Linked DNA regions of Xenopus tropicalis. The protein of the gene in region 1 purifies or fractionates together with the protein of each later gene. This does not show direct contact. Links are inferred from orthologs where the notes say so. Each region holds a gene or a part of one and is shown on either strand. Other genes may lie near its edges.

Region 1 (15,480 bases):
TAATAACAGCTCTGTCCTGATGATTAAAAGTTGTGTATGGAATGTTAAAGGAAAAGGAGTCATTTTGGCATTTTACTGCCAATAGATTTGCCACATTAGTGCCACCTAGAACACTATATTTATTCAGCAGAAAGCTTTACCATTCCTGAGTAAACAGCCATAGAAGCTCCCTCCATTTGTTTAAGATAGCAGCTGCCATTTTAGCTTGGTCTTCGTAGCTTCCTGCTGCAGTTATAGCTGTTATAGCTCAGTTCACACATTCCTAAGGAGGGGGGAGTGAATTCTTTTGAATTCTTAAGGGGTGTGGTCCAGGAGAAGAGAGAGGACAGAGCTGGGCAGACTCTGGTCCATGGAATGAAGGATTTTTCTGAGAGGGGAAGTCAGACACCCTAAGAACATGTTTACAAAAGAGACAAGAAATCCTGTATTTCTTTTGACAGAGATGTCAGTGCAGCGTTTCTGTGAGTGCTTATGGCTGTATTTACATAGACCTTTCTGATAAAGCTTACTTAGTTTTTACTTTTCCTTCTGCTTTGACTGAATCAAACGGAGCCCCACCTGATGTGATCTTGTTTTAAGGAAACATTTGATTTTACTACAACTATATGCAGAGCACATATTCATTTTAAGCCTTATGATTTAGACTTGTGCATACATAGAGAATAATGTACCCCCTTTTGTGAAATATAATAATATTAGAAGTCACCGAGGAATTCTATGACTGTATAAAGGCACAAGACTGAAGATCGAGCACTTTATACACCTCCGTTTTGGACCGCTTCATTGAATAGTAGCAAGAATGACAAATTACTTATTCATATATCTTGACCTTAAGTTATAATATAAAGGGGGGGGGACGACTTGTACTCAATAAATATTGGTTATAGCAATCACTCATTTTCCATTTAAGAGGCTTCCTGTAGCTCAGCCATGTTATCCAGTGAGGCTGTGTCTGCTACTAAATATATGATGTCACTTTTCCTTTTGGCTTTGCTAGAGATGGCTTTGGGCAGTGTCACAGAAGGCCTCGATTGTAGGTGAGTAGAAAGTCCAAAAGAGACTAATCTGAATGTGTTTTTACTTGCCCTTTAGTACAGGCCTACTGAGGGTAAGACATGATGCAGTAAGGGAACAGTAAACTCATTCCTGACAGATCAATCTATAGTATCATTTAATTAATTATGCAATAAGAATTGGGAGAACTTTGTAAGAGTGCCAACACCACAGAGTGTCCAAGTGAGTTAGCTGCCATTGGACTATACTGGCAGCATTAGAAGGGAGTGGCCTTTGTGTAAGGACCCTTCAAGGATAGGTCTTGTGTTTGCTACATGAGTCCTGCGTCAATCCAATTTTTCCAACTATGAAACACGCCTCGCAACCTGCATTATAGCCTGATTGTACCCACCACCTGACCCGAACTGCAACTGCCTTATCTGCAACTCGCGGACCACCATTAAACTGGAAGTGTTGTTGCTGCAGACCGGGAGTAACATCATCAGAAGTGGGTAAGAATTGAGAAAAAACATTTAAAGGGGTAAACTATGGACAACAAAAGGACCTGCAGACTCGCATCTCTACCACATCCAAAAATCCTACCTGCAACCCACAGGGTACCTGCTTTTGGTTGCATTTAACCTGTGGGTACCCGACCTGCTGCAGGACTCTACTTGGCCGAATAACCTAAAGGGCGATGTATTTAGGGGTAGTGGCATGTATGCTGCCAAAGACTGAACTGTGCCATTATTCACCCATCTGGATCCATTTGTGGGAACTGTCACTTTTAGGCTAACGTCAGACCAAGCATTTTCTGTGCTGGCAGAAAACATGCAAGTGCAGTTTCTTAGTATTGACAGGAATGACATTCACCTGGCACTGCACGGGGATAATTTTTGGCTCAAAATCATTGCAGTTTTGGCATAAGGCAGTATTAACATTTTCTGCTCAAGTAGAGAAAATGCTTGGTCTGACATTAGCCTTAGAGACTTATTCAGTTGGCTAGCATGTTCTTTGCTAGTTAGCCACATTTGTCCCATGTACAGTTATTGTTTTGATGAATTAGATGCCCAAATGCATATTTTATTTCTTACATAAATGTTACTGTTTTTGCTATATCTGTGTGTTAGACTTTTATTCCTGGGGGGGCCCCTTAGGTGCACCAATCAATTAAGTACCAAGTTTCCCAGTCTCCAGTAGTGACAGGAAAGGGTTAGAAGCAAATCAAAAGAACCAATAACTGATCAGGCCTTTGTCAGACATCACCTGGTAAGGCTAAAAATCCTTGGAGGGCCACATGAAGACGTGGATGCGCTGCTCTCGATGGGTGCCCCATGTGATCCAATTTTTGATCTACAGACCAATAAAATCAGATCGGCCTGATCTGGCCCACTTCTCTTGTTTTCAGTTTTGGCAACGATGCATCCTTTTGGTGAGCGTGGATCCCAATATTTTTTTTAAATACTTACTGTAAATCTAGATCCCCTGCTATAAATCAGGACAGAGCTGATGCAGGTTTCCAGAAACAAATAGTAACAGTGCCTTAAAGGACAATGAAAGGTTAATAAAAATTAAAAGTAAGTCTAAAGGCATTCTTTTTAAGTACTTACTGCATATCTAAATTCCCAGATCCCTGCTTGCTTCTCTGAGATATGGTGCTGGCAGCCTACAGCAGTGTGAAGCCTACAGTGACATCACTGAAATCTCTCTCCCCTTCCTGTAGGTGCCAGCGGCAGCCTTCCTATTCTCTGAGCATGTGTGTAACTTGATCCTGTCTCCTGTTCTGAGCTACACATGCCTACCAACCAATCAGAAGCGGATCTGGCAGAGGGGGAGGGGGGGAGGGAATGAAACACATGTGCAGTATGAAGCAAGGAGGGAAAGGAAGGGAGAATACCTTTTTAGAGATGGCTGCCTGTTCTAGAAAATGTGAAGTAAGTGTGACTGAGTAAATATTTGATTAGGTGAGCCAAAAGTGTGGCGTTATTACTAAACAATAGGAGGACTATTGGGCAGTATGCTTTTTACATTTTGACTTGCATTCTCCTTTAAGTACCAGGAAAAAGAATACCACGTAAAATTGTAAAGTGCAATTTATCAAAACAACATTTTACGCAATATATGGCTTTGAAACAATTTGATTCCAACAACAGTACCCCATTAACCAATGCAGTTGAAAATAAGTCTTATTGGTAAATATATCATTCATTTATTGATTTAAAACCTAAGGGGCCAGTTTCTCAATAAGGTAGCTTTGGCTGAGACATAGCATTAGATACGGTAAAACCAACCATTGTAGATTTAATCATTTCAATAATTGAATAAACTGATTCTGCCAAAAATCCTTCTGGATTCCCATGTGCCGCAATGCGCATTGAAAGCAAACAAATATTTCACATACATCGTTACAACTAAAATCATCATGCAGATATTTGTGCCAGTGGCCTATGGTAAAGCCAGTAATCATTTGCAGTGATGCAGCTTGTAATAATGTTTACGGCTGGTATTTAGTAAGGCTGTACATTTAAAAGGCACAATATACCCCTTTGTGTACTTCTATGAACAGTAATGGATCGGGGCCTTAGGAATGTGCAATGAAGCTGGAGCTGACAGTAAGGTCCCTGTGCTGCACAATAACGTGGGCGCTTCCAACACTACGCATTGTTAGAATCTCCCGGCCTGCGGAACCTTACATTAAACTTGCCAGTGAGATGCTTCTAACAGTTGCTAAACCGGGGGTAGGATTTAATGAGCCCCGATTTTTTCATTCATACTTTGCCCTGTGTTTGGGACCTGAAGCCCCACAAAATAATAGCACTTTCTCTAAATGAAGAAGGTCTGCGTTTAGCTGCTGAATTCAACAGAGACCTGCTGTACAAAATATGCTGTCTACATCATATTAAAAGGAATTTTAAGATGAACTACCACATTAAAAAAAATACTATACCCCTAGAATGAAAACTTAACCAATAGATAGTTTATATCATAATAAGTGGCTTATTAAAGAATTTTATATATCAGTAAATATTGCCCTTTTATATCCTTTCCCTTGAGCCGCCATTTAGTGACGGGCTGTGTGCTCCCTCAGAGATCACCTGACAGGAAATAATGCAGCTCTAACTGTAACAGGAAGTAATGTGGGAGTAAGACAGAACTCTGTCCAGTCATTGGCTGATGTGACCTAACATAACATATCTGTGTGCTTATTGTAAATCCTATGATCCGGCCCTTAATTCTTAAAATGGCAATTTTCTATTTAGCATTACCCAATAGCACATACTTCTAAAAAAGTATATATTTTTTTTATTAAAAAGGTTTGTTAGATGAAGCAGAGTTTTATACATTGTTTGGGGTATTGATTTACTTTAAAGAGAAAAGTTAAAATCACTAATGTTAGGTGATCATCTCTTCTGCTTCTTCATTATTTGATAGGCCCAGGCCCAGGCCCAGGCATGCACAGTAGAGTCGAAAAGCTGACAGGTGCAGTTTTTTTTTTTTTTAAAGAAAAGGAAAGGCTACATCACTGAGCGGTGCAGAAACCTGGTTTTCATGCAAACAAAAGCCAGAAATGTAAAAATGGGCACCTACTTTGAGGCCACTGGGAGCAACACAAAAGGGCCGTCATGTTGCCCCTGAGCCACTGGTTGAGAATCTCTCTTTTAAAATAATGAATTGAGTTAGTTTTTTTTAATAACTAGGGTTGCCACCTTTTTGGCAACAATAGTACTGGCGGGATGGGGGAGGGATCGCGAGGGTGTGTGTCCGTGACGTGGGGTTATGAGTCGATGTGTCACCAGCTGGATCACAGACAGTGTCGGACTGGGGTGCCAAGGGCCCACCAGAAGACCTTAGGCCCACTCTCCCCTTCTCTGTTTACTAACTTTCTTTAATCTTTAATCTTAATTACTTCACTTTACATTCTATTATCTATCCTTTCCTCCATTTCTTCTGTTTCTTCTCTATGGTAAAGGCATGGTTGGGTGAGCAAGAGGGCCCACTTACACCTGGGCCCACTGGGAGTTTTTCTGGTATCCTGGTGGGCCTGTCCGACACTGATAACAGAAGACCTTTGTAAGTTGGGCAGACTTCTCATGGCATAGAGAGGGCGCTGGGCAAGGGACTGTGGGCGGATCAGAGGCGTGGCTGGGGCGGAGAACTAGTTATGACAAATTTACCTGCAAGTACATTGCCATTACATTTTTTATACTGGCAACCCTAATAACAACTTCCTATTGCAAATACACTTCTTCAGCAATAAGGGACATGAGGAAAATACAGTGGCTTGCAAAAGTATTCGGCCCCCTTGAACTTTTCCACATTTTGTCACATTACAGCCACAAACCTGAATCAATTTTATTGGAATGCCACGTTAAAGACCAATACAAAGTGGTGTACACGTGAGAAGAGGAACGAAAATCATACATGATTCCAAACATTTTTTACAAATAAATAACTGCAAAGTGGGGTGTGCGTAATTATTCAGCCCCCTTTGGTCTGAGTGCAGTCAGTTGCCCATAGACATTGCCTGATGAGTGCTAATGACTAAATAGAGTGCACCTGTGTGTAATCTAATGTCAGTACAAATACAGCTGCTCTGTGACGGCCTCAGAGGTTGTCTAAGAGAATATTGGGAGCAACAACACCATGAAGTCCAAAGAACACACCAGACAGGTCAGGGATAAAGTTATTGAGAAATTTAAAGCAGGCTTAGGCTACAAAAAGATTTCCAAAGCCTTGAAAATCCCACGGAGCACTGTTCAAGCGATCATTCAGAAATGGAAGGAGTATGGCACAACTGTAACCCTACCAAGACAAGGCCGTCCACCTAAACTCACAGGCCGAACAAGGAGAGCGCTGATCAGAAATGCAGCCAAGAGGCCCATGGTGACTCCCATGGGGGAGCTGCAGAGATCTACAGCTCAGGTGGGGGAATCTGTCCATAGGACAACTATTAGTCGTGCACTGCACAAAGTTGGCCTTTATGGAAGAGTGGCAAGAAGAAAGCCATTGTTAACAGAAAACCATAAGAAGTCCCGTTTGCAGTTTGCCACAAGCCATGTGGGGGACACAGCAAACATGTGGAAGAAGGTGCTCTGGTCAGATGAGACCAAAATGGAACTTTTTGGCCAAAATGCAAAACGCTATGTGTGGCGGAAAACTAACACTGCACATCACTCTGAACACACCATCCCCACTGTCACATATGGTGGTGGCAGCATCATGCTCTGGGGGTGCTTCTCTTCAGCAGGGACAGGGAAGCTGGTCAGAGTTGATGGAAAGATGGATGGAGCCAAATACAGGGCAATCTTGGAAGAAAACCTCTTGGAGTCTGCAAAAGACTTGAGACTGGGGCGGAGGTTCCCCTTCCAGCAGGACAACGACCCTAAACATAAAGCCAGGGCTACAATGGAATGGTTTAAAACAAAACATATCCATGTGTTAGAATGGCCCAGTCACAGTCCAGATCTAAATCCAATGGAGAATCTGTGGCAAGATCTGAAAACTGCTGTTCACAAACGCTGTCCATCTAATCTGACTGAGCTGGAGCTGTTTTGCACAGAAGAATGGGCAAGGATTTCAGTGTCTAGATGGGCAAAGCTGGTAGAGACAGACCCTAAAAGCCTGGCAGCTGTAATTGCAGCAAAAGGTGGTTCTACAAAGTATTGACTCAGGGGGCTGAATAATTACGCACACCCCACTTTGCAGTTATTTATTTGTAAAGAATGTTTGGAATCATGTATGATTTTCCTTCCACTTCTCACGTGTACACCACTTTGTATTGGTCTTTCACGTGGAATTCCAATAAAATGGATTCATGTTTGTGGCTGTAATGTGACAAAATGTGGAAAACATCAAGGGGCCGAATACTTTTGCAAGCCACTGTAGGTTGCCAAACTGTTTTCATTGGAACCCTGGCCCTATCCTAAACCGCAAAGGCAGCTACAAAATCTCCACCATACAAAGGGCTGGACAATCAGCTTTGAGTGTAATGAGGTTTAACTAGTGAAATGCTCTGTCCCTCACTTTCTATGCTTATCTGTGGGTTTATTGGTACCCAGTGTAACACTACTCCCCCAGCTTCCCTACCAGATGTCTAATTTGGAAGCGATGTAGCAGAAGCCACAAGCTGCCTTGGCTGGGGAAGGGCTGATTGCTGCTACATTGTATCAAGACAAAGAGCCAGCAGGGCAGAACAGGACCATACAGAAACTGCTTTAAAGCCGTAGTTTATTCACCATACAGAACTTTTATTTTCGCTTTAAAACTATAGACTGCATGCGTAATTGCGACAGTGCCGTTATAACGCTGGTTATCAATTACCCATGTTTAAATGGTGCGGGTACAGCGCAGTGCTAGCAGCACCGCCACTAACTTTTACTTTCCTAGGGCTACACTGGGAAGGCAGTGATAGATTCCTCTACAGTGAGGGACTGTTAGCGTTTCCGCTTCCGGTGGCGCTCTGCACTTGCCACTGCCTGTGCTTTGTGGTGGCTGCGCCGGAGCGGGAGTGCATCCTTGTTCGCTGCGCTCTAGTTTTGCAGCCTTTACCGCCGCCGCCATGAGCCCCGGGCAGACCACGGTCATTCAGGTTACAAACCTTTCTGCGGCTGTTACAAGCGATCAAATGCGGACTCTCTTCTCCTTCCTGGGGGATATAGAAGAACTGAGGCTCTATCCGCCTGAGTGAGTGCAGGGGCTGCCATACACATTGATGGGGGTGGGCTTCTCAGTAGCGGAGTGCTGCAGCGCTGAGCAGTGTTTGGCAGGGGTTGCTGGGAGTTGCTGTCCAGCTTCATTACCAGCTTTATAGCTGCAGGTGTTATAATAATAATAATAATAATATCAGTTTAAATCACCAGTATAAGGTATAGGTTTGTATTTGGCTGATTATGGCTACGGCCCAGGGAGTTGTAGTTCATCTGCACAGCTGGAATGTGCTAGTGCAGTCACATTGCCATAGGCTTTCTGTCATCTGCTGGTGATTGTATTAGTATTTCTTACCCTGTAGAATGGTACTCAGAGATTGTACATCATTCATATTAGCCCCTACACCACTGGAGCTTGCACTCTAATCCTCCTATGGCACTAACGCAGCCCCCACTGGAGCAGTTTTCACCAGAAGCCAGTGAAGCCGTGTGTATGGTTTTGGGCTGTGGGTGGAAACTGACCCTTGTGGAACCAAACTCCGGACTCCACGTGCAGGCAGATTGGTCAGAGCCTGGGGCAGTTATTAGTATTGCCCATCAAAGGCTTCAGTTTATCCTTCCGTCAGATGGCCGAACAACAGGAGGGCTGGGGGCTGCCATCTGGATGGAAATGCTCAGGCCACTGGCGGAATATTAGTATCTGTGCATGTGATTGCTGTTTGGGCCCACTCATTGTACTTATGATAACGTTTGTCTGAATAGTGAGCACAGTCAGCCCTGTAAGCTGCATATACCAATCACTATGGCACAACCTCTCATCCAAAACATGTTTAGAGCTGTAACTGGATACAAAATATTCCATTTTGTATAATGACAACTCTAAGAATTTTAAGTATGGATACACAGCCATTAAAAATATTTTCTTTGTCATGTTAGTAAAAGCCTGTGTAAGAAGTATCTGTTCGCTACATTGCTCATCTTTTTATATAGCCGGGCCAGTAAAATAAAAGCCAGGTGGCAAGTGTTTATGTGGGGTTTTTTTTTGTCATTTAAACCTCAGCTGCACTATATGGCCAAAAGTATCCAGACACCCTTCTAAAGTCCGGAGTTCTCTACTGTCACTTGACACAAGTTTTTAAAATGATTCCTCTTTATCTGTAATAATAAAACAACACATTTTACTTGATCCCTACTAAGATAGAATTAATCCTTATTAGAGTCTGGGTGTATGTTAATGTTTAGATCATTGGCCCTAGTAGATATGATTGGATCAGTCTGATTGGGCCGTCACATAGGTGGCCAGTTCAGGCCCAGATCCATTCAGTTGGCAAGGTCGCTTGTGTACAAGCAGCTTAAGGTATTTCACACTGGCATGAGTGATTTTGGATCAATTCTGGCACCTTGGAGCTCACATAGTGTTGCAGGCATGTTCCAGGGTTTAAAGGAACAGTAACACCAAAAAATGAAAGAGCTTTAAAGTAATAAAAATATAATGCACTGTTGCCCTGCACTGGTAAAACTGGTGTGTTTGCTACAGTAATACTACTATAATTTATATAATAAGCTGCTGTGTAGCCACGGGGGCAGCCATTCAAGCTGGAAAAAAGGAGAAAAGGCACAGGTTACATAGCAGATAACAGATACATTCTGTAGAATACAATAGTGTTTTATCTGTTATCTGCTAGGTGCATGTGCCTTTTCTCCTTTGAATGGCTGCCCCCATGGCTACATAGCAGCTTATTTATATAAATTATAGTAGACTTTCTGAAGTAAACACACAACTTTTACCAGTGCAGGGCAGCAGCACATTATATTTTAGTTACTTTTATACACTTTCATTTTTTGGTGTTACTGTTCCTTTAACAGAATAGCGTTAGCAGTGAATGGATGAACATGTGCATCTGGATGGGTGGGCTTTATAGACCCAAGACCACGGGTGCCCACGGGATGTAGATCAAGGTCTACCAGTAGATCACTTTAAGTTTTTGGTAGACTCACGATGGAGGCCAGATAGCAAGAGTAGATCACAGGGTGACAAACTCTGGGTACCCCTGCCCAAGACTATACATTCTAACCTTGCCACAGCTGTAGGGCATAATGCATGCCATGGCTGTGTGGGCAGAAGATTGCAGTATCTTTCTGCGGATTATTTTATTACAGCTTGGGGAAAAAATGAAATTTTCCTGGGCTTAATGGTTTTCAGTTGTACATTCCCTTCAGTTCCAGGGCTTTTGGATGCCTTACTATATATATGTGCCTGAGGATTACAGACTCTTGCATGCTGCCATGGTTTTGGTTAGCCACACTTTGTTCCAAATTGGAGCATTATTATGTAGCGTCCTGGCTCACTGGGGGTGTCACACTTAATAGCAGGCAGAAGAGACTTTTTAATTGTTTAAAAGTCTGCCTTTGTAGTGCAATACCTGCCTGCTGAATAATCTGGATTCAGTGCAATATAGGGATGCAGAGGAAGGAAAATCTAGAAGGAGAAATTTAGCTTTCCATGAATTAACCTTTTAGGGTATTATTACCAGATGTGGTGGGTTCTCAGCTCCTGGAGCAGTGACAGTGAGCAATCATACCCGTCTCTTTGCACAGTGGGGGGATTTTGGCCCAAATATGTTCTTGTCCAGGCTAAAATTTACCCCTGTGTGCAGTGGCAGGCACATGTAACTGAAGCAAAGGGCAAGGGCAGTTTTTACAGTGGAAACCCACCTGAAGAGTATCCATGAAGTTTAGCCATAACTGTGTTATGTAACTGCATATCCGAAAAATGTTATGATCTTGTCCCTTAGCAGTTACATAACTCCTACTCTTACAGTTTTTCCCCTGCTGAAGCTAAATCCTTTCTCTTTAATCCCAGATGGCGACCTCTTTTTCTTTTCTGTATTCCTGTCAATGACAGCATTCTATATATGGTAACTGTCATATGGCACAGTGATGTAATTATGTGCTACGTTCAGTGACTCACATTAACTGTAAATTATAATGGATCTTACACAGATAATATATGTCTTATTGTTTGGTGTGCTCCCTCAACATAACATGTTTTTCATTTTTGCCTGGGCAACCAACTAAATCTGATTTAAATGTGAACTAAAGCGAAACAAAGAAGTAGGCTAAAAATGTTAAACGTTTTATTTTGGACTTTTTTTTTTTACTAGCCCAAGGAAACCACAGCCCTTTAGCAGGGAAGGTCTGTGCCCTCAAAAATGCCCCCAGTAGCCTCGATCTTCTTTTCTGCTGATTCCCTGCCCATACTCTGTGCTACTGTCACTTACCTGAGCTTAGGGGCCTTCTCACATTATACTGTATATATAGAATAATTCAAAATCTCATTACATGGCAGCTCGGAAACCAGTGCGTTTTGCATCAGCATTTAATAATCAGACCTGTGGCATCAGTTTTTATGGCAAGTGAACTTCATATTCTGCTGACTATTTGCAAAAACCCCTAAGCTAGATGTGCCTATGTGATCCTTGCCTGCTATATATGCTGTTTGTCTGAGGCAGAAAGCATAAGTTCTATAGCTGTGTCAGAGACATGTTTTTAGGTTGAGGAAGTGCAATAATCATAAAAGAACATAAAATATTAAAACTTCAAAGTTAAAACATCTACTTTATGGGAAAATATTTTCATGGTCCCTTTAACATTTGTCAAATTGCCTTTTTGTGCTTTATCAGATGTAATACTATTTCTGTGATGCCCAGACTAATTGTGTGTCTCTCTTATTTTTCAGCAATGCTCCTCTTGCATTTTCCTCCAAAGTTTGTTATGTTAAGTATCGCGAGCCTTCGAGCGTCGGCGTGGCCCAGCACCTAACTAACACGGTTTTTATTGACAGAGCTCTGATAGTTGTGCCCTGTGCAGAAGGTTGGTATTTGTGATGCTTTTATGTGATGTCATTGTTCTGTTTGTGCTTTCCAGCGGGTGATGTCATGATTCTCACATATAACTTCAATCAAATCCAAATGAAAGCAACTAGTATACAGCATACACCTACCTTGATTTCAGACACCCCCTTCTGTTACATTTGGGGTGAAGAGACACAGAGCTACTAGTAGCAACTACTTTGTCGTGGCTACTAAAACAGACAGTGCTGATCATTTACTGATAATTGTCTCTGTGTGTTTTAGCAGAGGCAATTTTCAGTATTGTCTATGGCAGGGATTTTGCTGGCGTAGCCGTGAAAAAGTAGCTGCTACTAGTAGCCCAGTGTGTCTTCACCCTTAGTGAGTACAAACCTAATACACAGAATAAAGCTACATGAATCCCATTCTTCTTTTCCACCCCTGTTTCCACCTATTGATTTGCTGGAAATGTCACATGACATGAAGTTATTACATTTACATATATGTATATTTGTCTTTCAAAAGTCTTTGTTGCATTGCTTTTTATTGGCATGCATCTGCTTGCTGTACATATACAAGGGCGATGCATCACACATTTACACAAACTTGCCTGTGTACCTGCGTTAGCAACTGCTTTAACGGGTCAAGGCTTCTTAAGGGGACCTGTCCTTTAATGACATACAATGTCCCTGAGAGTATTGTGGGGGTAAAACACCTTGTTTGACTTAAGACCTAACAGGCGCTTTAGAAGCTGGCATGTCTTAAAGGGAAATTTACTTAGCAGTTTGCACACAGGAAGCACTTTGCAAAGTAAATAAGAAGTTGTGTGAGATGCATTGAGTTAACTATTGAGGAGGAGGTGTTGGTATATAAATGTCAGCTGGGGCTCATTTCAGTCTGCCTAGCAGATGCCAAATATTGTGCTATAAAAGAAGGAAAGGTTTGCTCACATTTGGTGCTGCTAAACAAACAAGTAAATGATGCTGGTGTATAAAAGCTGCAATCACAGTACCCCCACAGTATCTGTAACTGCTTCCCATAGTATTCTATGGCAAATGCACAGCTTAGTGCAGAAGAAACTGTGGCAGCCGGACCTCCACTAACATTCTAGCTTCAGCATCTTTTAGCAGAGGTCCCTCTGTCACCCCCACATGCACTACTCTTATAGATTACACAGGGAATAGGGAGAAGTGGTTGGGGCCTTTTGACCACCTCTGTTTTCTTCCTGAATACATCACAAAACCCTATGTGCCATTGTACTTTTAAAGTTTGGTTTTACTAGACCTTTGTTGTACAGAAGCAAAAGCTTTGCTGTTTTTATTATCTTGTTGGTATAAAATCCAGTGCTAGTGTAATGGGGTTAATTTGACGTAAAGATGTGTAAAGCTCTAATTGGGTGTAGCTGACCCAAACCTGGACCCACAACTTAATAAATACCCAGCTTATTCCACTATAGGTTAAACTGCCACTGCCAGATGTTTCCTTATACTCCTAGCAAAATTTATAAATACAAATTTTTAGGCCAAAAATAGTGTCCATAACTACATTTTGATGTCTCTTTTATATGTGTGAAATTTCACTCTCACTCTTTCTCTCATTCTCTCTTTTCCTTTCTTCCTTCCAGCCTTTTTCAGCTCTGTCAGATACTTCTTATAATATTACTGATATATTACACATTTTTGGTTTTGTATGGGACACTTACTACGGTCACCCCTAGATACAACAGTTGCTGAGCATGGTAGCTACTAATGGGGGCTACTAATGGGAAGCATGTACCCCATTAATACATTTTACAACTTTATACAAAACATTGCAAGGCTTTTCAGTACTTAAACAATATAAAAACAAACACAGGAATTCCTTGTATTAATGCTTCTCTCATTTACATGCATATGGGGCTGCCATAGTGTCTTGGAGAATATCAAGTTGAAACCATTATGGACTGCACTAACAGTATCCGAGTAATAACCAGCAGCTCTGTGCGCACTCTTACCCATAGCCCTTGCTCTTTTTGGCGATCTTTTTGAAAAATAATTTCTGTTTAAGATGGTGATACACTATGAGATTTGCTTATTAAGGGAGGTCACACCAAACCAAGATCTTTGCCACCAGTGAGTCACATTGGGCTATTGGTCCTGTCGGAGGAGCAACACCTCAGAGCACTGATGCAGCCAATGTTCTTATTCACTAAGGGGGGGGGGGTATTTATTAATACTGGAGACAAGCATCCCCAGTAATGCTGCCCATAGCAACCAATCAGCAATAAGGTTTAAATGGTAACCTACAAGTTAGAAAACAAAAGCAAAGATCTGTTTGGTTGCTATGGGCAACTTCACCGGTGATGTTTGTCTCTAATGTTAAGAAATACGCCCCTAAATCCCTTAATAACTAGGCAGGTGTCTTTAGACATAAGGCTTATAACGGGATAACTCCTAGAAAGATAACAGAGAAGTGACCTGTGTAGCTTTGCATGTCTTTTACTGATATAAGAGGAGACATTGGCTATATGCTTTACTGCTTCTCACTTAACTGGACTTCTCCTAGACACTGATTTAATTGCAGATCCATTCTTGTATATTATTTGATGTATTAGTACTGATAACTGGGTTTGGTAAAAGTAAACAGACATCTTATAAGTTTTTAAAGAATTTTGCCTTTTCTCCCCCCTTAGATTTAAGAAAAAGCTATAATTAAATAAACTGGAATATTTCTTTTTATATCCTATGGTACAAATAGGTGCATTTATTCATAACAATGGAGGGAAGTCAGTCAGCTTTAAAATTCCCTAATAACATCTTAGCTTGTAAGAGTTTATGCCAGTAAATACTACTAGCAATTAGGTGTGTGCTGAGCTCCAGCTGTCTCAGCGTAGTAGAGAATTGTAGGCTTTTGGGCCAAAGGATGATTATGGATAGAGGGCTTTGTCTGTGCAGGACATTATGTTTTTTCCATTATATGTTCATGAGTCTGTAAATACAACGAGATCTTGAGTAGGCTGAATCTATAGCCCCCCCCCAGGCCCCTTAGATAAAGGGCTCTGATATTCTATGGTGGATATTCCAATGGTGTGTTTAAATGTACAGCTCTGGAGAGTTTTCCCATTTGTATATGTCCCAGGCATGAATGCACATATTTACTGATTGACCTGCACATCCTGGTGTATCAGGACACTGGTTTTTAAGTGTTGGTTCAAGTCCCTCTGTGGTACAGTGTTTGGTCAGGGCTCAGTTAGCTCAAACCAGGGTTACAGATACACAAAAGTATTGATGTTTTAGATGTTCAGCCATTGTTTGCAGAGGATAGCTCACTTAATTACCTTCAAGTTTGGCATGTGGGATACCAAATAGGCATTCTCCCCTTATTTCAACCTAACTAGGCTGTAAGCTGGACTTTCCACCCCTGGTCCCAATGTACACGTTAAGCCATACATTTTAAACTTGTATCTCTCTATCCAACAACTTGTTGGATGATGCTGAATGTACAGTATTCACCTGACTTTTAGCTTGCAATGGGTGCTGATTGGGACCCCCATAGATAGCACTTGCTTTCCCATGGTGACAAACATCTTAGATTTGTTTGTTGCATAGGAAGTTGTAGCATTGGGACCTGTGAAGTTGCAATGGCAGTAGGGGACCTTGGCTTCACAATTGTAGTTCTTCAAGCTTGTACAAACTTTTGAGGCATGGTGCAAGTGTCCGTAGGTCCATCCAGTAGTTTTAAAAAGCAAGTACTTCACTTGTTTGTTTGTCTTACTGCTAAGGTTTTTATTTTCTAATTAAAATTTTGAATTACTGAAGAGTTTACTGCTTAACCTATACAAGGAAGTTGGTCAATGCTCTTATCAATGAATACACACAGACACAGCATCAAATTAGTAGTGAGAACCTTCAAGTTCTATTTTTTTTTTTAATCCATCAGGATTTAGATATAAGGGCACACAAATATTTATTTTGGTGGTGGATGTGCGTCATTTAACGATACTTGCAGTA
Region 2 (15,777 bases), on another chromosome or scaffold:
TTAAACAAAGGCACATCCTAAAGGACAGCATTAGAAACCAATACACAACTTCAGGGTGATCTACCAGATCAATGTAATTGAAGCCTTAAATCATGAATTGGGAGGTTCAGGCTGCCTTTCTCTGACCTATTAGGACAGAACATGATCAGTTTCAGGAGGAAGGGCCTCTGTATGGGTCTCATTAGGAAGACATATTTAAGATGTAAGTTATTGATAATAAAAGTCTGCCATAATGCAATACTGCATGTTATCCTTCATGATTTTGCCATAGGTGTTAAAAAAGCCCCAGGAAGTGGTGACTGTGCTTATGATCCAGACCCTGGCTGCTATTGGTGCCATCTATCCCTGTGTGTCTCAGTACGGCCATGGAATGGGCTTCTCCAGAGGACAAGCTCAGCACGCTGTTGGAACTCTACAACGCCACTGGTCACTTCGACAAAGAGATGGATACTGCTATCCTGCAGTAAGGGGGTGGGACAAAGACTAAGATGTCATACTTACAGCCCTGTATCCTGAAGTTTACTTGGGATTTTGGGAAAGTTCCGTTTGCATTAAGAAATGCGCTAAGTTAAATATTACGTTTGTTAAAGTGCTGTGCTGCTGCTGATATGAATTTCTGTCTTGCCCTTTTAAGGCTAAGGGTCAGCTTCTATTCCCGAGTGCAATGGATAGAGCGCTAAGTGAGCAAGAGTGCACCCCTTAGTGCTTATCTAACAAGTTTGAGATCCTCTCTGAATTGACCTCTCAACTGCCAAAATTAATTTTCTGTCTGCACATAGGCACATTCTTTACAGACCTGTGTGGCCAAGTAATACCCCAAACACCAGTGTAAGCTAGTGGCTGGCCAGCCTCCTACATAGACTCTCTCATATAGCCCTTATAGTGGACATGATCAAGTTTAAGCTGGGGAAGCCATGTTTGTTCCGTTTGCATCTTTTCAAATGTATGTAAGGCTAATGGCACACAAGGAGATTTGATGCAAAATAAGGCAAGTCACTCACCTAGACCCAGTGTGCAAAGTGCAATTTTGTGCACAATCGCTATGTTCTAATTTAATTAAACAAACTGTCAAATATAAATGTAATTTTTGTTGTGTGTGTGTACATGTAGATGAAAATAAACACAGAAACTTTACACAATTTCATTGTTCCAATATTTAAAACTTAGAATGCATAGGTGTCTTTTCATTGCCCTCAGCCCCATAGCCACCTCAAAGGAAAGATGAATACAAGGCTAAAGGAAAGAGAGAAGTCACTGATTAGAGGCAAATAAGTTTCATCGTAAGAGTAGGATTTTGCCCCCATGACAAACCTGTAGTCTGATACACAATATTCACAGTGGGGTAACTACAGTCTTCCCTCACTTTGAGAACAATTTGGTATCTGGTTATCCTAATTACTATTTAGTGTGCCTTAAGGTCCCCATACACGGGCCGATTCTAGCTGCGATATCAGTCCCTTAGACCTATTCGGCAGCTAATCGGCCCCTGTGTGGGCACTACTGACGGGCCTGCCCAACCGATATCTGGCCTGAAATTGGCCAGATCTCGATCGGGCAGGTTAAAAAATCGGCTCGTTGATGCAGTCCCCGGACCGACGTTTCCTATGCCCATCATTATAATTCGATTGTTTGGCCCCAGGGCAAAACAATCGAATTAGCCTGGATTTTCCCGATATTGCCCACCTGTAGGTGGGGGATATCGGGAGAAGATCCGCTCGCTTGGCAACATCGCCAAGCGAGCGGATCTTAAGGTTTATGGGCACCTTTAGTCTTTAGCCATTTAAACAAACTAAAAGTAATGCAAATAGGTCATATCATAGATATATATATTTCTTTTTTAAAAAACAAACTTGTAAATACAATTATTAGAAACTGCATACAATCTGATCTGTTCCACTGATCATATAGTCCAGTTCAGCCACGTGCTGCCAAAATCAAGGCTCGAAACCTACAACAGTCCACACAGTCAGTTCACTTTACAAAAGTTCCATCTTAAATGCGCCCAAATCAGGGAGTGTTGCCTCCATTTGCTCCCCGGCACCATAAGTGCGACAGTTTTCAGTAGCCTTGGCTGTTAAGGTAGCTCCCAACTGCTGAATCTGCTGCAGCAACTCCTGGTGGTTGTTCTGTTGCTGCCTGTGTTGTTCTTGTTCCCAGCGACTCTGCCGGTCCATTAGGGTCTGTATGGTCTGTGTCAGCCTGTGAATGTCCCCTCTTACTGTGTCCAGTTGCTCTGCACTCATGGTTGGCCTTGGTGGCGGAAAGGACAATGCTGTCTGTATGCTGGCATCTTTCACCTGAATGAGATAAGCAATAATATTAGTGCATGTGGGGCCAATGAAGTATGCACACAGCAAAATAGATTTGTAGTCAGGCTGAATTTCCCTTTTGGCCAGGTAATTGTGCCGCACATACACATACACTATACAGTAGTAATGATGTGCTTAGACTTTCTCATATATAAAAAGACTTCAGTTGCAGCAAGGGTAAAATCTTTTTGAGGCCTTGGGTAGGATAACAGGTAAACTCCCAGGGCAACTTTTAACATAATATAGGCGGGTAATTTTCATTGGTCTTCATTTTTTTGTAGTGTGGGTTTTGGAATTATTTAATATCTAGTTTGGAATTGCAGTAGCTATGCGGTTGCTAGGGTCCAATTGATTCTGACAACTACGCACTAGTCTGAATAAAAGACTCGAAGATGAATAGAAGTGGGCCTGAATAGGAAGAGAACTATGTATATGTATGCATAATGAAAGAACAACCATAAAATTGCAATAGGTGTTTGGCAGACAAAAAAGGCAGATAATTCAAAACCTATAAAAAAAACTAAGAAATGGGGACCAACTGAAAAAATGAAACAGCACAGGCCACATATGAAAGGGATTGTTCACCTTTGAAGTGACTTTTAGTATGATTCTGAGACAATTTGCAGCAGGTTTTCAATTTTTATTATTTGTGGTATTTCGGTTATTTAGCTTTGCCTACAGCTGCTCTTTAGTTTGGAATTTCAGCAGCTATCTGGTTGCTAGGGTGTTGTTTACATTACCAACCAGGCAGTGGTTTAAATGAGAGACTGGAATATGAATGGGAAGAGGCCTGAAAAGAAACAAAGAATAAAAAGTAGCAAGAATAAAATTCTAAGCATACAGAGCAATAGTTTTTTTTTTTTAAGCTATCGAGGTCAGTGACCCCCCATTTAAAAGCTGGAAAGATGTAGAAGGCAGCAAATAATTCAAAAACTATTAAAAATAAATAATGAAGACTAAATGCAAAGTTGCTAGAAATAAGACATTCTATAATATATTCTATAAAACTTAACTGAAAGGCAACCCTCCCCCCCATAACAGTTAACATAAAGATATTACGTTTACTATTGTTATTTCTGGGAGCTACGAGTGCCTACCCAAAGGTCATGAATGAGCTAAAGTAGCTAGCCCCCAGCAATAGCCCTTGCACTGCCAAGCAAAAATAAAAATGAGAAAAGAGATAGTTAAAAACACAAAGAAGTCACATTTTTAGTTCACCTACCTGCTTGGAAGGTACAGAGACTGTTCTTATACTGGGAGGATGACTGTCAGCGTAGGTTCTGACTGGGTAATGTGTTCCATTAGCAACCATTTGGGCTCCATTCTGAACAGTAACCTGCTAACAAGTAAGAACATGTAATTTACAAAGAGCAATTGACTGTGAGTTGCAATGGTGCCTCAAAATTCTCTACAGTTAAAAGTACCAAGGGCAACTAAAACCAATAAACCTACTGTACTCAACATCGAGTAATGCAACACCTTATAAGTAAGTAAAAATAAGGTTGGCAACTCAACTATAAACTCACACCATGTGATCCAGTAACTTAGAATGCTTAAGTTAGCAACCCTACTATAATAACGATCATGTGATCTGGTACCTTAGGAAAAACTAGGTTGGCAGCCCTCCTATATGCACCACATATGTAATCTGCCACCTTAGAAAGACCAAATACTACTTCTAAGTACCACCGTGTGATCTGGTACCTTAGAAGAGGTTTGGATGGCACCCCTACTATATGCACCCAACGCCTCATCTAGCACCAGGAAGTGAAGGTTGGAAAACGATGTGATCAAGCATGGATGGAAGGCCTCCTTTGATTCAGCACCTCAGGAAGCACATAACTGCAGCCCAATCACAAACACCCATCAACTGATCAGGCACCTAGTAAAATCTTAGCCTGGCAACCCCATTAACACACATCATGCAAACAGCCTGGGAAGCTCAGGTTAGCAACCCTACTAAAAGTGCCCCCATGAGTTCTGTTACCTTTTTCTGAAGGTGGATAGCTCGATCCACTATCTTCTTGGTTACCAGCAAAGCCGGATTCCTAGGAGCAGGGACGGGAGTTCTTGCTCTTCCGTGAAGCTGTGGGGGAGCCACCGGCAGGCACTGCGCTGGTCGTGGCCCATTAACTGTGAAATGCACATATGATCAAAGGTCGACCCCTGCAGAAGGCTTTTTAATGCTTTTGTGGTTTCCATTTTGGTTATACCAAAATCTATAAACAGATAATTGTTTCTCAGTCATCAATATAAGTGCCATCTGCCATTGATAAAGCCTCGCCAGGGTGGGATGGCAGTTTCCACTACTAAGCATGATATATATATATATATATAAATATATATATATATATACATACATACACACCGATATGAAAAGCTAGTGCAAGGGTACATCATATAGTGTTGTGAAGTTTTAGCTAACAATAATGTACAACAAACTCACACTTTACTGGTCAGAAAGATTAACTTTTAGGAACTCATGATGAACCACTGCAAGCCAAAATGCAAAATGGCATCAATGGGTACTACAGAGATATTGCACTCACACGTTTCTGCTGGAGCCTGTCCTTGGGATATCAGTCTCTGGTTGCTGGAAGATGCCTGAAAGGCATGGTTACCTTTGGATAGAGAGGTCACACTCACTATCTTGATACCTTCTTCCTGGCTGACCACTTGCGGTACCCTGTGTCCAGCATCAAGTTTAGTCTCTGTACTGGCTGGCTTCTGCCCAGTCTCCTGATAGGGAGTCCAAGGCTGGCGGTCTGCCCATGGCTGTGCTCTTGGGGGAATGCTTTGGGTCTGGTTGGCAGAGGATGACTTTTCAGGTTCAATGTTCTTTCTTTTAAGGAAGAGATAGATGGCTTGTGGTGTCACCTTAATATTATCCAACTCCAGAACTTTCTTTATTTTACGAAAGCTTAACCCGGCTTTCCTCAAGATCACAATCCTGTGCTTCGCATTCTCATCCAATCGCCCCATATTTCTAGCATTCAGCAAACTTTACGGGGCTGAAATAGATTGAAACCACATCCGTCACAAAGTTTTGCGATTAATCAAAAGTCTCAGTGCACTGATCTCAATTAAGATCCACCCACAATCCAATCAAATGTGGATGAAAAATATTGCATTAATAACCAGTGGTGCTCAATCTGGGTTCTAAAGCCAGTGGTGGTGCTAAATCTTTGGGCAGCAGAACCACTCGGCCAAGCTGATTCCCTTTAATAAACCAGTCGCTGGATTCTGATTGGTGGAAGGTGATGCAGTTATATTCCACCATGACCTTAAATTGGATCCTTGTTGTATTCGGTTTCAGAAGTTCTGGCCCCAAGATATTCCACCTGCTAAACAGGTACTTTTATTTCATTGCTTGCAACTAATGATCTGAAGAAAACAGGAGGTTGGTGTTAGAGTCATGAATAAAACCAATATCATTTCTCACTACATACATTAGGACACAAGTAATTCTGACCCCTACCCATGATAAAACTGCCCAGTCCTTCTTTATACGCAGTCATCAGAGATACAGACACCCACTCCTCATATGGGAACATACCTTTCACTTCCAACTAACAGACATCAGGGCACCTACCTCTCACCTCCTCCTAATACATCCACAGAACCTGCTTCTCTCCCCACCTAATAAAAATAGGTCAGGGGGCTCATTAAAGGTGATGCTGATACCAATCAAACCCTTCAGGCAGGCAATTCTGTGTTGTGAGTACAGTAACTGACCCTTTAAGTTCTCTGTGGATTTGAGTGTAGCATTAAAAGGAATATGCACCTTATTTATAAGAGGGGAAATATTCCCTTTATGAGAGGACAGATCAGAACAGCTTCCCTCCAAACCTTAGGGACCTTCTGGAAGGTTCAATGAAACCTTACTGAATCCTGTACAATGTATACAAACCTTATGCTTGCCCTAGGCGACCTAAGTAAGGTTTATGGATGCCCTTTATAACTCAGGCAAACCTAAGGGTTGCCCTGGGCAACTCTAGCGGGACTTATGGTGGCCTTGACAACTCATGCAAACCCCCTAGACAGCCGGGTTTATGGGGGTTCCCAACAACTCAAGCAAACCTTATGGGGAGCTAGACTAGTTGCACTCTTTTTTCCCAAAGGTAAAGGGTCACCCTTGCTTTTTGTCACACTCACCACCTTATGGGCCCCAAAAGTGCGACGAGACACGTAAAGCAATCCTCCCATCCGGAAGAACTAACATCCCTGCACCTCTCCTAACACAGGCCACACTTGCCTTTATAGCGGCTGTCCCTCGCACCTATCTATATACCGACGCGTAGTTGTACTTCTGGCACAGTTTCTTTATAACCATATCGCACTTAGTGTTTGTTTACGGAGCAAAACAGGAAGCAGCATAGGTTTCCGCTCCGTGCAATAGACATACACGCACACATATTAACCCCGTCACTCCTAGAAATGACAATTACTAGTAATGTTCCTGCTGCAACTCGGGACTATCCTACTTCTTTAAAAGGCTGAATCGCATTTGCGTCCGCTGTTGTGCCACGCCCACGTCCAGCAATGTGTGACGTCAGCGCCAAGGCGACCAGAGTCGCTTATCTTTTGTTTCAAGATGGCGGCGACACGTCACAACGAACGCGACGGTTTATCTGATCTTAGAAGGGACAGGCAACGAAAGAGCGGCAAAATGTAAGCGGAGCTCCATAATCTTTTTCCATCCTGCAGCGCTGCTTTCCGTACGAGTTGGATATTGGTGGGACGGTGCAGGGGAAGCATGGCGGGTTCTATTCACCGATGTATTGATTAAGAGAGAGCAGGGTGGTGTTTGGGATTGGCCCCGAACGCAGTACCGAGGATTTATGGGGGTATAGGCCGCAGCTGATTGGATACACATATCGCTGCGTCTATACCTTCCTGGGGAGTTGTTTCTTCTGCACACTATTCCCTTTGTATATGGGTTTGGGCGATTTCTTCTTTATGTAAAATGAATTCTTTCTGAGCTTGCACTGGTTAAATTGTTGTGTTTATGTAAGGGGACAACAAAAATGGCTGCCACTGCTTGACTGCCCCCGTCTAGGGAAGGCTGCCTTGTATTTCTCTCTGGGTATATTCCCTCAATGTGTATATGCTTTGCACTGGATTTTTTCATTCATTGATATGTGCTGCTGCCCTGTGGGTTTGCTTACGTTTTGTATTGGGGCACCATTAGTTTTAGTGCTTTAATATATGTATTAAATGTCTGGAAAAACCTTGGGGTTCTTGGATCTCCAGTAATTCTGTATTTATATAACAGCAACATTATACTCCATTTACATCAGAACCTGCCCCAGTCTAAGGGTTACATATAAACTCCTTGTAGATAGTGACCCCCAGCTGGAATTGAACATTAGGACCCCAGCGCTGCCCAAACGTACTATGCTCTACCCCATTGTTATTAAAGGAACAGTAACACCAAAAAAATTAAAGTTTTTTTTTAAAGTAATTATAATATAATGTATTGTTGCCCTGCACTGGTAAAAATTGTGTTTGCTACAGTAACACTACTATAGTTTATATAAATAAGCTGCTGTGTAGCCATGGGGGCAGCCATTAAAGTTGGAAAAAAGGAGAAAAGGCACAGGTTACATAGCAGATAACAGATAAGTTCTGTAGAATACAATAGTTTATCTGTTATCTCCTATGTGCCTGTGCCTTTTCTCCTTTGAATGGCTGCCCCCGTGGCTAAACAGCAGCTTTGTTTATATAAATTTCTGAGGCAAACACACCAGTTGTACCAGTGCAGGGCAGCAGTATATTTTATTATTATTTTTATACATTTTCATTTTTTGGTGTTACTGTTCCTTTAAGTGCCACAGTTGCATGGATATAGGTGTTATAGGGCCACCATGGCATTTTAAATCCCCCCTTCCTTGTTTTCTAATTGTTCAACTTATCAGGATAAAGGTTTCAAGTGTTGCCTGCAAATTAATGAGGAGGGATTAAGGGCTCTGGTACACGGGGAGATTAGTCGCCCGCGGCAAAACTCCCTGCTCGCGGGCGACTAATCTCCCCGAGTTGCCTTCCCTCTGCCATCCCACCGGCGAACATGTAAGTCGCCGGCGGGATGGCAGACGCGGCGGCGCGATTTCGCGCAAATCGCCGAAAAAGACTCGCGAGGCTTTTTCGGCGATTTCCCGAAATCGCCTCGCCGGTGTAAGTCGCCGGTGGGATGGCAGAGGGAAGGCAACTCGGGGAGATTAGTCGCCCGCGAGCAGGGAGTTTTGCCGCGGGCGACTAATCTCCCCGTGTACCAGAGCCCTTAAGGAGAGATACAATACAAGGTGGTGGCCATAGCTATGTTGTACATATATGCTTTGAGGTTGGGGAGAGTCTGAACCACACTGACCTGCGTGTTTCCAGTACCCATAATAAAGCCTCCATCTGCGTTTACACAGACCAACATAATTTAACTTTTAATCGCTGTAATAACCGGTACATGTTACTCCCACTTGCATTTTTCAGCTGTTTGACCCTGTATCACCCTTACAGGAACATTCTAAAAAAAAAAAAGCAGTTGCGCACCAGATGAAGTGCTCAGCTGTACGCGGCTTAAAGCGGAAGTCAGCGTTTTATTGTAAAGGTCTGATTGGTTGCTATGGGTAACATCACCACTGAAGTTTGTCTCCAGGGGTAATAAGTACGCCCTTAAGTGATTCTCCAGAATGGCCGTCCTGCTCATAATTCAGTAGGCAAGTGTGCACTGCATTGGCAAGCAGGGTACTCAGTGCCCAAGAACCCCCAATACCCAGTTGCACCAATGCTGTAGAAGGTTTGGAGATCAGCAAAGGAGAGATTTTCATCAGGAGTGCAGCACTGCTGGCTGGGTACTGGCTCTTAAGGCACAAACCCCTATAAGAAGGCACTTTGGTTCCCAGAAGCAGCCACATAATACAGCACTGACACTCCACTAAGCACTGGAAGGCATTATTTTTCATGGGAGGAATCGGGTTTCTTGTGCTTCAGGCTGCTCTAGGTTGGATAATATAGTTATTATTAGTTGCCTTGAAAGTGCCATCTCCAGGATATATGGTACCCCCACTCCAGTGAATATAATCACTTACCTGATACTCTGGGCCAGACATCTGTGTGCTGAAGAGTGCACCAGCCTGGGGCTTAAGAAAAGATTGCAGTGTGGCACTCTTACAGATGTACCCTGGGCCAGTGCGTTTTTCAGCAAACAGGAGCACTCGCCTGGGGTATTAGCAAAGCGTTGGCAATTACTGGAGTGCACCTAACATTTGGCACCCCCCAGTGATTATACATTTCCTTCTCCTTTAATCCCATGCACCCCACCAGTTCTTTAGCCCTACCATCCTAGCGTATCACCTGGAAGCACATTCCCAGAGCTGCCTTTTACTCGCCCGTGATAGATCTCTGTTATCGAGGGCATCTAACCACTCTGAAAATGCCTTTCCACTGGCAACAATAGGAGTTTCCGGTGGAAAGGCCTTTGCGTCGCTTTGGTTTTCTGAGCTTGCCTGCAGGAGGAAACTCTGCACAACTTCAGAAAACCAAAGCAATGTGAAGGCCTTTCCACCAGCGATTCCTGTTTGTGCCAGTGGAATGGTATTTCGGAGCCATTAGTTGTCCCCGGTAGCAGGGATTTCTAACTGTCTGCTAACACATTTCATGGGACATCAGCCTAATGTCACTAGGCATTAGAGTGTTTCTCATCACAGCATGCTGTATATGATTAATGAACTGCATCTGAGCAGCAAGATGGTTTTTCTTGGGCCAGTATCAGCCGTCTGTTCTTGGCCAAGTTTGTTTGATTAGACAGATATCAATTGGAGGGCTAGAAAATCCTGTCTGGACTATATCTGGCTGTGGGTGTGGTGCTGTCCTGGAAGGGGTGCACGGGCTCCCTATGTGGCATGACTGTCTGGGCTGGGGTCGATTTGGACTAGCACTTGTCTTGACAAATCAAGCAAACATCTGCGTGTGGCTGGATTTGGGCTTTATTACTTGTGGTTTTTGTTCATGTACAAACTAAATAAACCATGATTAAAATATAGAACCAGGGGATGTTAACTGATCAGTTATTAAATTCATGTAGGCAGGATTTTTTTATATAATAATGTTGCTAAGCCACCCTAACCATGTCATCCTAAATGGTTGTACAAACTTAGCTTGGATGCTGCCCATCATCCGGCCAAAATATTGACACAAAACATGTTGCTACAGGGCTCTAAATTTTCTTTTCCTCTGCTTATCCCAGGGCTCCTTCACCCAGCAAGAGGAAGGAACGCTCAGAAGACAGAGCAAAAGATAGAGGCAAAGAGAAAGCTCCAGGGAAAGAAGGCACAGATAAAGACCGCGGGCGTGATAAAGCAAGGAAGAGGCGCAGCGCCTCTAGTGGCAGTAGCAGCAGTAGGTATGTGGCAAAAGAGATGTCTTAACACATTTCTTTCTGTTAAACATGGGCATATGAGGAAATATTAAGCTACAGTTGATGGTTCTTACAGACTAACCATGCCTTTCTCCCCAGCCGTTCCCGCTCCAGTTCATCCTCCAGCTCATCATCAGGTTCCAGTTCTGGATCCAGCTCGGGTTCCAGTTCTTCATCTGCTTCCAGCCGTTCAGGAAGTTCCAGTTCTTCTCGCAGCTCTAGTTCCAGCAGCTCCTCGGGTTCCCCAAGTCCTTCTCGGCGCCGCCATGATAACAGGAGGCGCTCCCGTTCAAAGTGAGTCTTTGTTCATATTTTATTTTTTTTGTTCTTGAATGATGGAGAATGTCATGTGAGCTAGCACTGGGCAAAGGGACAGGGTGGTAGAAGTATAAGTAGCAGTGGTGACTTGTCTGACTCTGCATGCCAATTAAATTTCATTGGATGCCTGTTTGATCTAAAAGCTTATTCTGCAAGCCATATTGGAGGCCTATTAGGTCGAGAGTCAGTATGAACACTTATTTTTTTATTTTTTTTTTTTAATAGATCCAAACAGCCAAAACGTGATGAAAAAGAAAGAAAACGACGGAGCCCAAGTCCCAGACCCACAAAAGTTCACATTGGGAGGCTGACAAGGAATGTAACTAAGGTTGGTGTGCCTTATGCTAACTGTGTTTTGCTTTTCTGTAGTTTTTGCTTTGCATGCACAGACTTTGTACAGAAAAACTTTTATGTTCTGCCTTCCCAGTGGAGGAATTTCCCAAGGCGCCGTTCTCATTTAAAACCAAAACCAAACTTCAAACCAAAAAGTTTTTAAAACTTTTAAAGGAAAACTATACGCCTGAACAATGTAAGTCTCTGTAAAAATATGTTGCACAAACAAGCTCATATGTAAAACCCTGCTTCATCTAAATAAACCATTTTCATAAAAATTATACTTTAGTATTATGTGCCATTGGATAATCCTAAATAGAAAAGGGCTGCCTCCTGGGATCATATGATGCACATAAACCAAGCCACACATACATGATAGGCCACTTCAGTCGATAAATGGGGCAGAGTTCTGTTTTTTTACTTCCACATTATTCTAGTTTGGCAAGGTTCTTTAATAGGTCACTTAACATTCTATAAATTGTTAAAGTATTTATTCTAGGGGTATAGTTTTCCTTTAAATGCCTACTGATATAATATGATATTGACATTTGGGATATGCTGGTTATTGTAAATATGATTGAAAAAGAAACGATGCATGGGACAATCTGGGCCCCTTCAAATTACTTGATCTTTTCCTCTTCTGTGAAGGGTCTTTGGGTAGTGGGCAGCCTTTCACACAGTTACATATTGTAGTAGTGACAGCTGACTCTTAAGTAGGTTCTCTTCAAGGCAGGGAATGCAGTTACTCCTGTGGGCAGCTGTCTGCCACCTGGGGCCAGATGTTTGTCGTAAAAAAGAGATACTACAAAACCCAGGAAAAATTCAAGACCGTCCCTTACAGGGCAGCATTTGGTGCATCCTTTCACCAATCTCTGTATAATGCACGTTGGCATAGTTTTGCTTTCACAGTTTTTATGATATATCACTTAGATTTGGTCTAAAACATTTCACTTCCTTATTCTAGTAGTTTAGGTAAACTGAACTTTATGCCTCTCCTCTTTCCCCAAGGACCATATTCTAGAGATCTTCTCCACATATGGCAAGATTAAGATGATAGATATGCCTGTTGATCGCTACCACCCACACCTGTCCAAGGGCTATGCCTATGTTGAATTTGAAGCTCCTGAAGAAGCAGAGAAAGCTTTAAAGCACATGGATGGAGGTAGGAGGGGTTTTCCTTGATAACCCATTAACTATATATAGTTCTTTTGACAGATTTTACGTATTTGTTTTTGGAATGTGGCATAGAGGGCGTTTTGGTCAGTGATGGGTGCAGATCGCTCATGGCACTTGTGCTGATGATAGCGACCTGCATTTAACAAGGCATCTTTGGTTAGTGCCAAATAAAATGCCCAACTAGCCACTGCCCTTAGCTTATTGCATAGTCCAGGCTAATGTTTAGATGATTAAATAACTGTTAATATGCTGACTTATATAAACAAAGAAGATACAAGCTGCCTGCCAATGTTTTTTTTATTCTGTGTCTCATCAGGACAGATTGATGGTCAGGAGATCACTGCTTCAGCTGTTTTGACACCGTGGCCTATGCGGGCAATGCCCAGAAGGTTCAGTCCTCCTCGGCGGATGTTGCCACCTCCCCCGATGTGGCGGCGATCACCACCACGCATGAGGAGAAGGTAGATAATCTCCATCCAGCTGTGTCTTGCTACTCCGTTCTCTGTAGTGTATACAATGTGTATTTATGTTATCTAATAAATTCCAACCTCTGCAGGTCACGTTCACCTCGGAGACGCTCCCCAGTAAGACGCCGTTCACGGTCACCCGCACGTCGCCGCCATCGCAGTCGTTCCAGCTCCAACTCCTCGCGGTGAACATGTCGTCCTCTCATGCCCCTTCCCTCCCACACCCTCTGCAGTCTGACACCATAAATCTTTCTCAGCAAAGTTGGCTGGAGTATCTTCTATTTTTCAAGTTTCTTGAAACTGTTCCTTGTATAGCAGCATCCTGAAATGATAGGTCCAAAGTGAGAGGGTGGAGACAATATTGAAGTAGGCATTGGCTGCCAAGGGACCTACAGATGTTGGCCTCCACCCCCCAGAATCCCACTCTCAGTGGCATGCTAGCAGCTCTAAACAGGATTGAAATGCATTATCTCTGTAGCTCTCTAGTGTGGAACTGAATCTGTGGCTGCTAGTCTCAATGAAGGGTTTATGGTAAAGGGGCTTAATAGGATATGCAAGAAATACTGTCTAGCCTCATAGCCTTGCTTACCCTATCTAGTGGACTGATCAATTCGCTGCGGCCCTGCTGATTCCAAAATTCATCCTTATATTATAAATCACAAATGAATGATTTACTTTCCTCTGCCTTTGGCTAATGGCGCACATTGGAGAGAAAAAAAGGAAAAAAAGTCCCTGTGAAATGAGGGATTGCGAAATTGCACCTTCTCACTGTTTAATGCACAGCTATCAAGGTCTCATGTTGCATAATACTAAAACGTAACTTTTATTCCATGTAAATATCATTAAAGTCCGTAACCGTGTATATACATTTTAGTACATTTTTAGCAGCTCCAAACTCTCAAGCTGACCCCAGTGTGCTTATTATCTACCCCCTTCCCGTCTCCTGCTGCGAATGCAGCATTATTGCTCTCCTTCTAGCGTTATGTTGGAGTTCATGGTTAATGGTGGTCACAATTTAACATTAAATGTCAAAAAATATCTCTAAATTTGGGGCACAGTTTAAGGACATAAGGAGAGTGAGTTCAACATTGGAGATGCTGAGATTCTGACTTCTCTATATACCCTGGGTTACATTCATTTTTACTGGCTTTAATGATCTCACATGGAATAAAGTTAAGTTTTAGTATTACTGTATATGAAACCTCAATGATTGTGCATTAAACAATCCCTCTTAAGGAGTTCTCCTTGTTTTCTCCATTTTTACATTTTGGGATATTTATGTGCACCACAAATTACTATGGGGGTTATGTAATAGAAGGCACTAAGTGTACCCAGGTACAGTAACTTATAAGCAAGCATCATTATTGGTTGCTATGGGTTACCGCTACTGGGCAAACTTAGTGCCTTTTTTCACATGTGGGATTATGTATTTTCTCTGGGCTGTGGTGCAGAGCCACACATCAACGTGGGGTTGCTTAGCTGGCTGCATTTGGGGTTTTTTTTTTTTTTTTTTTTGCTCCTTAAAGGGCACCAATCATGGCCCCAGTTGCTGCCTGATGCAGTTCCATGGGAGTTGCCCACAACTATGTTTTCACAAGATTTCCATAAGCAGCGATTGGATGGCAGGAGGGTGACGAGAAAAGATTTAACCATTTTTAAAAAGGGATGTGAAAGCGCCCCAATGTTGCTCCACGTGCAGCTGGTTTTTATTTAAAAAAAAAAAAAAAAAATCCTGAAAGATACTGTTTAGTTTTTAAGAAGCAACTGTGTTTTCTTTAAGTGACTCCCAAACCCCCCTGTGTAGGTTCTGTAGGCTCACAAAGCAACATGGGTTGGCTGGGTCTGACCTACAAACCTTGGCAACTGGGAGTTAACAGTGAATACACCTCTCTGGGCAGGGCCAGGACAGCCGCCTCCTTACAGCTGCTGGGGAACACCGCTCACTTCTGAGCTGAGAGTTGTAGTTTTGCAGCTGTGGGAGCTTCCTGCCTGTCGCTGTGGAGTTCAGTGCTCCATAAATATTATAAATGGGGATGGGAAATATAACCTGTACAGTTGATATTCTACTGTGTTTTGTTTTTTTGAAGTTTGTTTTATAATATCTGTTCCATGTCTGTAGAATAAAATACGGAATAAATGGAAAGAATTTTTTTTTTTTTTTTTTTTTTTGTCTCTCTCTTCCCCTTACAGCTTTTGCCCATGTCTTGTTTGGTATCTTATTGCTTTCACCTAGAATCTCCATTACCTTTAAGGTGTATATGTACTAGATATACTCTGTATAGCAGGAATGGAAATTTGAACGTTTCAGTCGATGAAGTAAAGTACAACTCCCAGCATCCCCTGATAGCCTTGCCTGTTATTGGGATTCTGGGAATTGGAGTTCAAGTTGCTCACAGCAGTCACTGTTGTCACTGACCAGAAATAGGCTGAGGTCCAAAAGTATGTCCATGGGTGTTTGGGAATAATATGCAGTTCAGCATATCCTCATGGAAAAGCCAAGGCAGAAATCTGTCTCGCAATCTGTCAAAAAATAAAAGATGATATAGATACATTATTCATTTCTGCTGATGACTTGAACATGAAATGTAAACCTGCCCACTGGAAGGAGGCTTGAGGTTAACACTGGTGACCTTAAGAGACTGCCCTTGGGCTTTTTATTGCATTGCAAAGGGTTAATGCATTGGAAGAAGCTAGATGTTTGAACTGATGGGCAAAACCATAGGAATTGAGTATTTTCCCAGTGTCAGGGAAGGCTGCAGTGTCA

The links.
Region 2: the proteins of srek1 (region 1) and rnps1 purify together in Homo sapiens (affinity purification with mass spectrometry; 3 studies listed by BioGRID and IntAct, counting the BioPlex papers as one, with this or other methods). This does not show direct contact. The link is inferred for Xenopus tropicalis from reciprocal best matches to the Homo sapiens genes SREK1 and RNPS1.

The regions. Positions count from the first base shown.
Region 1 is NC_030677.2:187,485,402-187,500,881, reverse strand, and holds the start of srek1 (splicing regulatory glutamine/lysine-rich protein 1), read left to right. Parts: upstream 1-7,348; 5' UTR 7,349-7,552; coding exon 7,553-7,677; intron 7,678-11,379; coding exon 11,380-11,513; intron 11,514-15,480. UniProt on the Homo sapiens protein: Participates in the regulation of alternative splicing by modulating the activity of other splice facors. Inhibits the splicing activity of SFRS1, SFRS2 and SFRS6. Augments the splicing activity of SFRS3.
Region 2 is NC_030685.2:21,733,854-21,749,630, forward strand, and holds rnps1 (RNA-binding protein with serine-rich domain 1), read left to right. Parts: upstream 1-6,860; 5' UTR 6,861-6,978; coding exon 6,979-6,980; intron 6,981-10,548; coding exon 10,549-10,704; intron 10,705-10,818; coding exon 10,819-11,013; intron 11,014-11,262; coding exon 11,263-11,365; intron 11,366-12,378; coding exon 12,379-12,532; intron 12,533-12,862; coding exon 12,863-13,007; intron 13,008-13,102; coding exon 13,103-13,202; 3' UTR 13,203-15,167; downstream 15,168-15,777. Other genes in the region: uncharacterized protein LOC100490582, read right to left, coding at 1,977-2,297, 3,532-3,648, 4,297-4,442, 4,859-5,291. UniProt on the Homo sapiens protein: Part of pre- and post-splicing multiprotein mRNP complexes. Auxiliary component of the splicing-dependent multiprotein exon junction complex (EJC) deposited at splice junction on mRNAs.